Linked DNA regions of Arabidopsis thaliana. The protein of the gene in region 2 interacts with the protein of the main gene of each other region in a pairwise test. Each region holds a gene or a part of one and is shown on either strand. Other genes may lie near its edges.

What was found. The genes of interacting proteins can lie anywhere in the genome.
Region 1: the proteins of CPK26 (region 2) and HSP23.6-MITO interact in a two-hybrid assay, tested with the Arabidopsis thaliana proteins (one large-scale study listed by BioGRID).
Region 3: the proteins of CPK26 (region 2) and UNE12 interact in a two-hybrid assay, tested with the Arabidopsis thaliana proteins (one large-scale study listed by BioGRID).

The regions. Positions count from the first base shown.
Region 1 is NC_003075.7:12,915,251-12,918,669, reverse strand, and holds HSP23.6-MITO (mitochondrion-localized small heat shock protein 23.6), read right to left. Parts: upstream 1,745-3,419; 5' UTR 1,582-1,744; coding exon 1,383-1,581; intron 1,246-1,382; coding exon 812-1,245; 3' UTR 560-811; downstream 1-559. Other genes in the region: AT4G25210 (DNA-binding storekeeper protein-related transcriptional regulator), read right to left, coding at 1-224; QWRF7 (QWRF motif protein (DUF566)), read left to right, coding at 2,669-3,361.
Region 2 is NC_003075.7:17,928,306-17,933,136, reverse strand, and holds CPK26 (calcium-dependent protein kinase 26), read left to right. Parts: upstream 1-1,634; 5' UTR 1,635-1,936; intron 1,937-1,954; exon of another isoform or gene 1,955-2,027; 5' UTR 2,028-2,035; coding exon 2,036-2,085; exon of another isoform or gene 2,086-2,098; intron 2,099-2,178; coding exon 2,179-2,753; intron 2,754-2,829; coding exon 2,830-2,973; intron 2,974-3,052; coding exon 3,053-3,205; intron 3,206-3,277; coding exon 3,278-3,393; intron 3,394-3,467; coding exon 3,468-3,635; intron 3,636-3,721; coding exon 3,722-3,946; intron 3,947-4,029; coding exon 4,030-4,143; 3' UTR 4,144-4,172; intron 4,173-4,235; exon of another isoform or gene 4,236-4,258; 3' UTR 4,259-4,320; downstream 4,321-4,831. Other genes in the region: CGL1 (alpha-1,3-mannosyl-glycoprotein beta-1,2-N-acetylglucosaminyltransferase), read left to right, coding at 1-44, 160-253, 484-546, 622-660, 760-930, 1,015-1,131; AT4G38225 (glycerol kinase), read right to left, coding at 4,355-4,366, 4,530-4,565, 4,652-4,831. UniProt on the Arabidopsis thaliana protein: May play a role in signal transduction pathways that involve calcium as a second messenger.
Region 3 is NC_003075.7:1,136,928-1,142,357, forward strand, and holds UNE12 (basic helix-loop-helix (bHLH) DNA-binding superfamily protein), read right to left. Parts: upstream 3,614-5,430; 5' UTR 3,380-3,613; coding exon 3,017-3,379; intron 2,613-3,016; coding exon 2,490-2,612; intron 2,326-2,489; coding exon 2,260-2,325; intron 2,174-2,259; coding exon 2,108-2,173; intron 1,434-2,107; coding exon 1,353-1,433; intron 1,275-1,352; coding exon 1,041-1,274; 3' UTR 560-1,040; downstream 1-559. UniProt on the Arabidopsis thaliana protein: Required for ovule fertilization.

The DNA.
Region 1 (3,419 bases), 5.0 Mb from region 2:
GGCTTCAGCTTGATCGTCTTAGCAGGCTCGGACTCGGGCTCGGGCCCAGAACTGGACTCCGATTCAGATTCGCCTTCAGAGTCAGATTCAGGCTTTTGCGAAGACTCGACTTTCTTCGGAACTTCAGCAGAAGATTCAGATTCTTCTCCAGATGAGCCAGATTCTTCTTCTTCACTGGAAACAGGAGGGCTTTCGACCACTTCCTCCGCCTTCTTCGGTGCCATCGAACAAACAGTTACGAGAGAGAGAGGAGACAGAGATCTGCGGTTCTATTTTCCCGTCGCCGTCGATTTGCTTTGCTCTTAGGTTTAGGTTAATGTCGAGGTTCTGTTTTTTGTTTTTTGCCCTACTTTTGTTTTTTTAATAAAAGTCGATCGATTCATTCAAGTTGGGCTGTCCAACGCGCTATTCTACTCGAACGGGCCTAACACTTTTACGCGTTATTAATAGACCAGTCCGTCGACAACTTACGCAGCCTCAGAATTCGTCTTAAAGTCTTCCTAGTTCCTAGTCTACAGAAAATTTTAAACCCAAATACGTTCCATAAGCTCCAGTCTCATAACCACAAAGGCATGTAAACCGACCGAGTTAGCTAAAAGAATACACGATTAGGAACTTATTTAATTAGTGCTTTGATTTGGAATGCAAATTTTGGTTTAAGCAAGACAAAAAACCACCGTCTCAAGAAAGAAACATATAACCTTTTAGTCTTTAGAGACTACATGACTCAACATCGACCGTGCCAAACTACACACACTTCTTATTCAAAGACCTATCAACAAAACTAGAACAGAAAAAAACGTCGACGTTTTTAGTTGATCTCGATCTGACGAACATCATTTCTCTCTTGTTCTTTCATCTTCGGGATCACAACTTTCAACACTCCGTTCTTCATCTCCGCCTTAATCTCATCGATCTTGTAAATCTTATCCGGTAATCCAATCCTGCTTGTGAATCTCCGATTACCGCTCTCTCCTTCCTCGCCACCATCTTCCTCGTTTTTTCCTTCTCCTCTAATCACCAGAGTGTCCTGCTCCAAAGCCAGCTTCACATCCTCTCTGCTCAGCCCAGGCATGTCGATTCTCAGGTACAGAGCATCGTCTTTCTCTTTTATATCCCAACCACGACGAGCTCCTGAAGCTCCCATGCCACGAGTAGCTGATAACAGAGGATTCTCCATGAACTGGTCCATCAGATTCAGCACTTGACTAACGCTCCTCGTCGGCGAAAACGGATCAAACACATCTACACAAAGACACAATCAATCATGTCAAGATTTTGAGCTCAGTGTAAGCTAATACCTGTTTTCTTACTAGATTTTCGCTACGTTAACAACAGAGAGACATAGATCTGGAGGAAAAGCGAAACAATTGGTTTGTTACCTGAGAAGAAATCACCACGGCGGCGAGGAACAGAGCGGCGATATAAATCAACGCCGTCTCCATTTTCGCCGTCGTCGTCGTAGCTCCTAACGGCGTTGGTGTTGAAGAGGCGAGAGGAAACAGCTGGACGAAGAACACTACGGGAACGTGGAGCGATGGAGGATGATAGGAGTCTCTTAAGAGCGAGAGCAGATGCCATTTGTAGAGAAACAGGAAGCTTTGTTGAGAAAGTTTTAACAGTGAGTTTAGTATTTATCTGAGAACTGTGTGCGACGAAACTGGAGACAGGGGAGGACTATATACAGGAGTTAAGTGTTGAAGGTGGGATATTGTCAGTGAGTGAATGTTCTGGAGAAGTGGGGAGATTGATATTTCTCTGGATGTTTCTAGAGATCCGTGGCTCCCAAGCTAAGTGAAACAAATATAAATTGTCTTGTTTATTAACGGGCTACGGCCCATCGGTATTAGGCCTGTTTTAGTAGATTTATGGTCAACAAGTCAAATGACCCTAGAACATGGTACATGAATGAAAAGGACCAAAATGTGGACAGAAATCAACCAAAGGCCGAGGCGGCCACCAACCACCGAACGTGGGAAGGTCTGGTTCGGGCAAACATTCGAAAAGACCAAGAAGACTCGGATAAACAATTAAAAAAATCAGATATTGGAGAAGGCAAATATATATTGGTGTTGAGGTCAAGACTTAGAGTTTTGACGTTATTTAAAAAAAAATATTTTTGGGTAAAGACTAAAGAGTTTGACGCTATCTTGAGGTTTATTTATTCAACGTAGACTATATACTATGGGGCCGTTCTGAATTGGACCTTTTAAGTTTTGATTTTATTAAAACGCCATGTTGTTTAGTCGAGAGATAAACAAAAGACGTGTCTCTAGCTAAGCTGACCTTCATATATGCTTTGACATAATACATTAATTATAATCTCTCTTTTTGGTGTGTGTAAAAAATACACTCTATATTTTATTATGTAGACACACTACATGCAGAAGTGTTCTTACCTCTGCCTCTACGTGCTGTCAACTCCTACAGATCTTCAAGTACCCCAACCGTTATCTAACAGATTAAATATAATATACCCCTAACTATATTATATATCACAATTGTTCAAACCAGTGTATATAGACTAGACGATTCCTTGAACCATATAATTCCAGCTTTACTATAAGAGTCTTAAGGACAGGGGCAAGTGAGTCGAGAAACGAAACCGAATATAAGTCTTGTATGATATAGTCATATAGTTAACCGTCGTCATATATTAAAGAAGAAAATGGCAACCACCGGTCGGAGACTCCGTCCTCCATCGCCCAATAATAACCGGAGCCGGACTATAAGCTCTTCAATCTCTCTCCCAGTGTCCTTAAACGCCTCGTTATCGTCTTCTACTTCTTCATCTTCTTCCTCTTCGCCTTCCAATTCAAGCAAACGAGTGATGATAACCAGATCACAGTCCACAACAAGATCCTCCAGACCCATCGGATCATCCGACTCTAAATCCGGCGAGAACATAATCCCGGCGAGAAACAGCGCATCAAGATCTCAAGAGATAAACAACGGTAGAAGCAGAGAGTCGTTTGCTCGGTACTTGGAGCAACGTACGCGTGGTAGTCCTCGTAGTAACGCTTCATCGAGAGGGGTAAAGCCGGGAGCCAGCTCACCATCGGCGTGGGCGTTGTCTCCTGGAAGACTTTCGACTATGAAGACGCCTCTGTCCAGCTCAGCTCCGACGACTTCAATGTGCATGACGCCGCCTGAGTCACCCGTAAGCAAGGCCAAGATAAGAAGCGGTGGCGGTGGAGCGGTGGCAGGAGTTTTGAAGTACTTCATGGCGCAGAAGAAAGTATCTCCGGTACAAGAGGAGGATTATCACCGGTTTAGGATTTTTCAAAACAGATTACTTCAATGGAGGTTTGTTAACGCAAGAACTGAAGCCACTATGGCAAACCTTAAGATCAACGTTGAGGTACAAAAACTATATGAAAAATATTTAAATTTGTATCTTATAAATATCTATTAATTTG
Region 2 (4,831 bases):
AAGAGATCGACTTGGGATGAGTTATCACCAAAGTGGCCAAAGGCATATCCTTATATGCTTTTTTTTCTTTCAATCTCGATGACTATAGTTTGACGCTTCTTAAATTCTAAAAAAAAAAATAGTTTGACGTTTCTAAGACTTTTCTTAACAAATATCCACTTACTGGGATGATTGGCTGAGACTAAAGGAAAACCATAAAGGCCGCCAATTCATTCGACCGGAAGTCTGTAGAACATACAATTTTGGTGAACATGTTAGTACCCGATTATGCTATCCTATATATCATAGTTTTACAAGTCTGTTTTTGTAATGCTGTTAAATTGACCTATGTTCGCTGCATATGACTTCTGCTTTCTGTATGAAAAATGTATTATTGCAGCTTCGTCCTATAGTTTCCCGACACATGGATGTAGACAGTCAATACCACATAATATATTTTTGCATTTCATACTTATCCATAACCTTGTTATATTAATTTGGCAGGGGTCTAGTTTGGGACAGTTTTTCAGTCAGTATCTGGAACCTATAAAGCTAAACGATGTGACGGTAAGCGTAAGTGTGTTTTTTACCCCCTTTTGTTGCATCACTAGTTTTCACTGGTTTCCTATTTCATTCATAAAGGTTGACTGGAAAGCAAAGGACCTGGGATACCTGACAGAGGTAACATTTACAGAACTCCGGCCTTTTTTTTTTATACCATTTTGCATGTTTTGAGTGGAGAAATGTAGTTTTTAACCTGTTCTCTCATGTCTATCAAAGGGAAACTATACCAAGTACTTTTCTGGCTTAGTGAGACAAGCACGACCAATTCAAGGTTCTGACCTTGTCTTAAAGGCTCAAAACATAAAGGATGATGTTCGTATCCGGTATAAAGACCAAGTAGAGTTTGAACGCATTGCAGGGGAATTTGGTATATTTGAAGAATGGAAGGTAAATTTGAGATGATTGAACTATAATCTTCAATAATTGTAGGTCCAAATGGGTCACTTTTTTTGTACCCCTTTGATTGTGTAGGATGGTGTGCCTCGAACAGCATATAAAGGAGTAGTGGTGTTTCGAATCCAGACAACAAGACGTGTATTCCTGGTTGGGCCAGATTCTGTAATGCAGCTTGGAATTCGAAATTCCTGATGCAAAACATGTACTTCTCCAACCAGCATCATTTACATCTTAACCATTGCTTACAGTTCTGTGCTAACCGGGTTTCACAAGCAGATGAAAGGAAAAGAAGATTTTGGACCGCATGCAGCCTCCTTCTAGCAGCTGTTAGGTTGTATTGTTATTTATGGATGAGTTTGTCGAGCGGTGGGGTTAACTTTAACAGCAAGGAAGCTCTGGTGACCTGGCTGATTGGCTTAGAAGTTATGGGAACCCCTTGAAAGGGTCAGGGTTAAATATATTTCAGTTGTTTTATTAGTGATTATCTTGTGGGTAACTTATACGAATGCAAATCATTCTATGCAGTTTTTCTTCGTCCCACTTGTTTTGGCTTCTCTATTGCTAGTGTACATATCTCTTCAAACATGTACTAAATAATGCGTGTTGCTTCAAAGAAGTAACTTTTATTACATCTTTGGCGAGTAGCCAATCAAGGCACTCGACCCATCTTCTCTGGTATAACCCGTCAACTAGAATCTGAGGCCATGGGATCATTAAAGGTTTGTTCCGATGCGACCAATTGGAGGTCTTGATTTGTCTCATGTGAAGTAGGCCTAAGAAAAGAGCCTTGTGGAGTTCCCCTGCATTTTTAGAATATTCTAATTAAAGAGACAGATCTGTTGATGACTATTAATCAAAGATATCTTCTTCTTTTGTTATTTTTAGTCAGGATGTGGAGACGTTGGCGAGAATATTGCAAAACCATGTTCAACAATGTGTATCATCGGATCTGCACCAATCTGACTTAATTTTCATCCATTCTTATCATCTTTGTCTGGTACACATCCATCTCTTCCTCTAATTCCCCTGTTTTGATGTCTCTCCTTATTATTGCGATTTCTTTATGCTAAATTCGTATAATGTTTCAGATCTTGCTATGGGACTTGCTCTGTTTTCCTCTGATGGCAAACTAATTTGGAAGGGGAGGTGAACTAACTTGGTAAGGGATTTGTTTGATGGGCAATTCTTTACAAGCCAAACCACTTCTAATACATTTTGTCTTTCAACGATTTGTTTCAGCACACAAACTGGCAAAAGACGCCCCCAGGAAGAAGCCACAATGAAGCACAGCGGTGGGAACCAAGCCTGCTATGTTCTTGGTCAAAAGACCCCAAGCATCCGAGATCTCTACTCGTTGGGACACAAACTAGGTCAAGGACAGTTTGGGACGACTTACATGTGCAAAGAGATCTCAACAGGGCGTGAATACGCATGCAAGTCTATAACAAAACGAAAGTTGATATCAAAGGAAGATGTGGAAGACGTACGCAGGGAAATTCAAATCATGCACCATCTGGCTGGCTACAAGAACATTGTCACCATTAAAGGTGCTTACGAGGATCCATTGTATGTTCACATCGTGATGGAGCTTTGCTCAGGTGGGGAATTGTTTGACAGAATTATCCAGAGAGGACATTACAGCGAGAGAAAAGCAGCTGAGCTGATAAAGATCATCGTTGGTGTTGTTGAGGCTTGCCATTCGCTTGGTGTCATGCATAGAGATCTAAAGCCCGAAAATTTCTTGTTGGTTAACAAGGACGACGACTTCTCTCTCAAAGCCATTGATTTTGGGCTTTCCGTGTTCTTCAAACCAGGTGATAACATCAGCTGCATCATTTGCAACATCTTCAGTCAGAATTTCACACTTGCTACATCATCTGCAACTTTCAGGTCAAATATTCGAGGATGTGGTTGGAAGTCCGTATTATGTTGCTCCTGAGGTTCTGCTCAAGCACTACGGACCCGAGGCTGATGTGTGGACCGCAGGGGTCATACTGTACATATTGGTGAGCGGAGTCCCTCCGTTCTGGGCAGGTATGCACCCAAATGAAACAACTGTGATTAGGCTTCCAAGGTAAAAGATTCTTAAATATTTGTTTTGCTTCAACTCCAGAAACACAGCAAGGGATATTTGATGCAGTGCTGAAGGGACATATTGACTTTGACTCCGACCCTTGGCCCCTAATATCCGACTCTGCAAAAAACTTGATCCGTGGCATGCTATGTTCCCGGCCCTCTGAGCGACTGACAGCTCATCAAGTATTGCGTAAGTCTAACCAGTTGCTCCTATTTCAGGTCCTGAATTAGTGTATCTGCTAGCTTATTTAGAATTTTGCAGGCCATCCTTGGATCTGTGAAAATGGAGTTGCGCCAGACAGAGCACTAGATCCTGCTGTGCTTTCTCGTCTTAAACAGTTCTCTGCGATGAATAAACTAAAGCAGATGGCTTTACGGGTAAGCCCCCGGCCGCAAGCCTTTTGGCCTTTATTGTGAACAATTTTCCATAAATGTCTTCTGCTGTGATTCAGGTAATAGCTGAGAGTCTCTCGGAGGAAGAAATTGCTGGACTGAAGGAAATGTTCAAAGCAATGGACACGGATAACAGTGGAGCGATTACGTTTGACGAGCTGAAAGCCGGGTTGCGAAGATATGGTTCAACCCTCAAGGATACTGAGATTCGTGACCTTATGGAGGCTGTAAGCACTTTGCTCTGATCTGATCTGTGTGAGTACCTGCTTGAAATCAGTATGTTTAGTATTAATCTGTGACTGTGATTTACCAGGCAGATATTGACAAGAGTGGGACCATAGATTATGGTGAATTCATTGCTGCAACAATCCATCTGAACAAATTAGAGCGTGAAGAACATCTTCTGTCAGCCTTCAGGTACTTTGACAAAGATGGGAGCGGTTACATCACTATCGATGAGCTACAGCACGCATGTGCTGAACAGGGAATGAGTGATGTCTTTCTAGAAGATGTGATCAAGGAAGTCGACCAAGACAATGTGAGTGACTTATGCATACATATCCTCTGGCTTGGAGAGTACATGGTCAAAGGCCAGGGATCATTTTTTTCTTCTTGTTTCAGGATGGAAGGATTGACTACGGGGAGTTTGTAGCTATGATGCAGAAAGGCATTGTTGGAAGAACAATGAGGAAAAGCATAAACATGAGCATCAGGAACAATGCCGTCTCGCAGTGAGAAGCAAGCAATCTCACGATTATGTACAGGTTAAGCCTTTCTCACTTTTTCAAGGTAAATTCCATCAAATTCTTTCCCAAACTGACAAGTCTATACATCGGTGTACGTGAAACAGTCGTTTTTGATAGAGCTGAACGAAGATATGCAAAAGCTACAAAGCTCTGCAGAAATATGGTTCCCATGGTCTGGATCCTTCCCGGTAAAGATTGAATCAACAAAGGCTCTGCATTCTAAAACGAACTGATATGTATTATTAACAGATAAACTGAATCAAACATCAGTATAGGAAGTCATATGAGATTATTGTAATTTGACTTATGTGCACACATCCTACAAAGAAAATTATAAGAATGATCTGTGGAGATTTAAACGATTATTGATCATACATCTGATAGAGCAGTCTCTCTCCCCATTGTTACCTCCTGCGCAAAGTAAAAGAGATAGAATAATGACCACAAGTTGCAAGGAGAAGAGTATGTAGTTGTCAACAAAGAAGATTATTGGTTACCTTTAGCTTAGAATCGCTAGAGAAGACGCAGCTGGATGTGATAGCATGGCCTGGCTCAAAGACCCATCCTACTGAAAATACTCTTTCGCGGTCTTTGCCTTGTTGGAGTGAGCACCACAGCTCTTGCGGAAGCAATAAAAGATCATTTTCTTCTCTCACAATCTCAATCACCTTCTCGCC
Region 3 (5,430 bases), about 17 Mb from region 2:
GTTTTATGTGGTTCAATAACGCAAAGGCTATAGCGATGTATGTTTGACGCCTGTACCGCATCAAATTGAGTTTGCATACTCTTTGTAGTCTTCTTGGTTTTGGAATTTAGACCCATTTTAAACAAATTGCCAAATCATCTTCGTTTATTATTATCTCACTCTAAGATTCATGTGAAATTGTAATAAAAACAAAACTTTTATCTGTTACTTCAAAAGACACAAGATTTTCCAAACTTTACTCAAAAAATAAATTTGGCAGAATGATTTAATGAATCACATGAAATAATCATATCAATAACTTTAATTCTTCGATGAGTTTTTTTTTTGGCTATATTTTTCCAAAACTAACAATATTAATAAAAGTTGTATTTTGTCTTCACTAATCAATGCAAAATGTAAACATGCAAGTTTAAATTGATACATGTTCTGTCCAAAGTGTATATATCTTAGCATTTGAGATTTGGAAGTTAAAATTGTACACGTACCACTAAAAAAAAGAAGCACAATTCATGGTACTTTCTCCTAAAATATTTGCTTTATGTTTCTAGTGTTATCAAACAAAGGATGGTTACTAGATCAAACTAATAATATTATTTGATAATTAATTATACTACTCCAAAGTCATACAAAATAAATAATAATACAAGGGGTGACAAATTACAAATACTTGTTTTTTCTTCAATTTGAACACAACTCAACAAGGTCCCACAACTTCCCACTACTACTACTACTAATAAATAACACCCTTCAAGCTCCTTCCTCAACCTCCCACTAAAGTCTTGAAAACAAAAAGTTGCTTTCATCAAAGTCCACCTAAAATAAAGGTACAATGATTACAATAATACTTGATCAATTGAGCTTTTTGACATTTTTTTTCCCTCTACTGCAAATCCTACATTGATTCCATCTACAAAGCCTTTTTCACTTTTTTACCTTTCAAGTGGGTGAGAGAGGAGAGAAGAAACCAGAGTCATTAGAGCAGAAGAAAAACCCATGTTGGACAGTTGGATTAGCTGTACAAACTCTTTATTGCAGAAATCCTACTGTGGAGGATTGTTCTCAGGCTTGACCACTGAAGATGTATCCGGAGGTTGAGAATGGTAAATTGCCATTGCCAATGAGATTGGCATCATACAAAGAGCCTTTGATTGAAGAAGCTGCATCGCGGCTCCAACGTTCTCTTCCATCAGTTTAGCCACTTGACGTTCAGTCCCATCGTTAGACCATTTCTCCCACGCTGGTTGCGGAGTCCTTCCACCCTCACCCGTTTCATCCTATTGACATTTTAAGCAAAATCTGAATCAAAACCCCATTACTAAAGTTTTTACTTTTTGTTCTTAAAAAGTTTTTACCTCAACTGATGATGAAAGAGGCATATCAGTAACAAGTGGAGCAACCGCACCGGCTCCACCAAGTCGGCTCATGCTCAAAACCTACCAAAGTTGACAAAGAGAAACAGATATCATTGAAAGTGATAAGCTTCACCCCATGAAAATTATATATATAAAAAAAGCTTTTACTTTTAGATGAGCATGGAAGATTTCACAAGAAACACATTTTCTATTTTTAAAACAAAAGATGTATTATCTTATCAGAAATCCATCATTGCATTCTGTTTCTTTAGTGTCTCCATTATCTTATAAAGTAAAGAGACTTCCTTTTTTCGCTTGCGAGAGCTTTAAGTAACCGACTGCATTTTGATATAAGAAGCATTTGATGATCTACCAGATTACTATATTATAATGTGAACATGATGATTGTAATTATTGTTGAATATGGTATTATAATCATAAACTGTGATTAGGCTCCCTATGACAAAACAAAAAGTGAAAAGAGACTAAATGCCAAAGAAAACAAAAGCATTTTGGACTTGTTTATTCTTTCCCACATTAAATAACTGATCTAATCAGATTGAAATTTGGTTGAAGGGTAGGTAATGGTGGGACCAGAATTAACACCAAAAATCCATCCAGAGAATTTGAAAGACATGATCTTTAGATCTCTAATCTTATGAACAAACAGATTAAACATATTGCATAGGGAGTAATAAGATAATTCACAAGAAAGAGAGTTCGAGTTTAAAACTGCAGAAGAGAGAAGAATATACCTTGACTTGGAGCCTGAGAAACTTTACATAATCGACAATCTCATCGATCATAGCAGCTCTATCGGTCTGCACACGAAGACGGGAGAAACAGAAAGTGTCAAACTTTCTAGAGAAATTATATACAGGTGAGGGTTAGGGTGAAAGGTACAGACCTTGTTCACAGTAGGTACAAGTTCCTGCAGCGCCCTGATCCGTTCTGCTATTCTTTCTCTACGTAGCTGTGGTAAAGTAAAACAAACTTTTAGGTAATCCCTCCATAAAATCAAGAGATCATTACACAATGTTAACATTTTTTTATATCCGAAACATATTTTCAACTACAACCAACTCGCCACCAACATAGTATATCACAGGGAAATACAAAAGAGAATCTGAAATATACCCGCTCAGCGATGCTATGTGGATCAGTAGCCTGACCACGCCTAGCTCGAACCCTGGGACGGATTGAAGTAGGCTGATGTGGGGCCGATGGAGGTGGCTGTTGCATAGGCTGCCCGTGGAAAACCTTCCAGACAACACACAGAAGAAATAAGACCAAACGAAAATAAACCATTTGCACAAGGATTTGACTCCATTAGTTGTAAGAGAATAATTTAAGTTAGACCCTTAAGATTACTCATTTGACCAACTTAGAAGGCAAGATAAGCCACGCAGCTACATGAACTAGTGAGAAGTTGCTCATAGAGTAACAAGAGCTAACCTTAGTTTACTAAACAAACCAAAATCGATTAGATTCAACAAGTCTGAGCCAAAATAAAGCACATAACGCAAATCATCAACTTTGTTAAAGTTACTTACCACAAATCAAAAACTAAAACAAAAGTTACCAAAAATGTTCTCTTCAAAACCCTCAAATTCGATTTCTTCCCATTTCTAATAATCAAACACCAAAGCAAGAACAGAACTTACAGGTTTCATAGAAGAACATCGATTATCAACAACATCATCTGAGAATCTTTTCCCACTTCCATGTCCTCCTTCAGGTCTAAGAAACCCAGGTCCTTTCCCTTGATCAAGACTTAACCCCAAAGGAAACATCTGATTGTGAAACCCAGTTGGTCCACTTCCTCCTAAGCCACCCATGTGACTTCCTTCTTCTCCGGAACCCAACTGCAGCATCATAGGCGGTGCTCCACCACCTAATCCTCCGTCAACTCCAGATAAACCGGCGGCAGAAGAGGCTGAGAAGTTAGGAAGGCCGAGGATTTGCTCGAAGAAATCATCAGAAGGAGTTTGGTCAGAAAGGTTGTCGTGAGGGTTGTTACTAGCCATGGTTTGAGCTAAAGACAGAGACTTTGACTCGAACGAGTCACTGTGAGTTACGATTAACGAGTTAGGAACCTTCAAAGAGAGATTTACATGCGAAAGCTACAGATTTTTTTAATCTATTTTGGGTTGATGAAATTTTGATGCTTTAAAACGAATGAGGACGAAGAAGACAGAGACGAGAAAGGAGCAGAAGAAAAGTGAAAACTTTATGCTCTGTTTATAAAAAAAATATCCTTTTTGGTAAAAGACCTTACTTTTTCAGATTATTTCGTTTTTGCCATTTTCTTATTTTCCTTCCAGAAACAAAATAAAAATATATAAATGGGCTGGATTTTATATCATATTTGGGTCTTCTTTCTCTTCTTCTAAATATGGGCCTTCAATTCAGTCTTTGTTTTTTTCTTTATGGGTTAAAGTCTTCTTTAGTTTTCCTTATAAATTACGTTAAACCTCTAACAATTAATTTATAGAGGTATTAATTATTAGTAAATTAATAATTAATAATTTCTTTAACATTATTTTTTGCTTATGTTTTAATGTTTACTTGATTTTTTTATTAAAATAGTTTCTTTGTTTTTGTTTATGTTTTTAACTATTATAATAGTTGTAGTCAAACATAATTTAGTAATCTTTTTAATTAATTTTGAAAATATATGATATACTTATAATTGCCACTAGATATTATATAATTTGAATTGATGTATTTGGAAATTGGAAAAATACACTGAGACCAAACATTTGCGATTTTATACGGCCGAAGCGGTCGTTTAGGTGTTACGAAAGTGGAAATGGTGCGTCGTGGAATTGCACTGAAATCATCCCCACATATCTCCTCCCGCCTCTAATAGCTTCTGGTTCTTTCCGTTCTCATATATCTAGCAGATCCACTACCTATCTACCATGACGCCAAGTAGTGACGGTACTGTCCGTCGTACTTATTGCTCTCTATTTTTAGAACATGACGAATGAATTGTAGTTATCTATTATTGTATCCCTCCTAATTCTAATTAATGTATTCAACTATTAGAATGTATTGAAAAAATCGCTTATTTTTCTGTTTGTAAGTTAAATTTTCCTATATCACTTATTGAGATGTTTACATAATTCAAAAACGTCACATAATTATCTTGCGAGATATAATCAAATTCGAGATATGCGCTAAGCAAACAAGCTCCAAATAAAGTATTTCAAATTCAAAAGAGACAATTTAGTTTCCTAGAAAATGTTTTCTCTCTTCTATCACAATTCAGGTTGATTCCCAAGCTTGTCGATATGGAAGATTCTGTTTGCTAGCTTATCAATCTCAGCGACTCCTCTCTCTAATTTGAGTCTACACCAACAAAAACTAAAGGGTTCACATCATTATGCCTAAATGGAGCTCATTTATAAAGGAACAACTTGTGCTTAAGGAGGTAATTCTCAGACCAAACACGAACATCCAACATAAGAAGTAATAAAAGCTAAGAAAAACAGTTATTTACAAAAATCAATAAATAAAACAAGTTTTGTTTTGGATGAAAAAAAAAAAAAAAAAAAAACAAGTTTTGTTTTGATAATATATTAACACAAAAAAAATCAGTTAATCAACTTAATAGTTTAATATATTAATTATTATCCCTTTAAGAATTTTTTTTTCTAATGCCCTTTTCATGATGCCCTTTTTCAACTTTACCCTTTTGTTTTATCCAATTTTATTTCTACCCTCTTTAAATTTTTAATGACCATTTTACCCTTATTTGGAAATTGTTTTAGGTTAACAAAATGAAAAATTAATATTTTTTCGCCAAAAATATTCCAAAATAAATTTCCCGCCAAAATTTGTTTTCAAACATATTTTTCCCGCCAATTTTTTTTTTTTGGCGGGAAATAGATTTACAAGGGATTTTAAAAGAGTTTTAAAAGATTTACAAGGGATTTTATAGGGGTTTTATAAGATTTACAAGGGATTTTAAAAGGGTAATTTACAATAGATTTTAAAGGGATTTCAAAAATTTACAAAAGTCTTTTAAAGATTTTTAAAGGCTTTAAAATTGTTTTAAAAAATTTTAAAATAT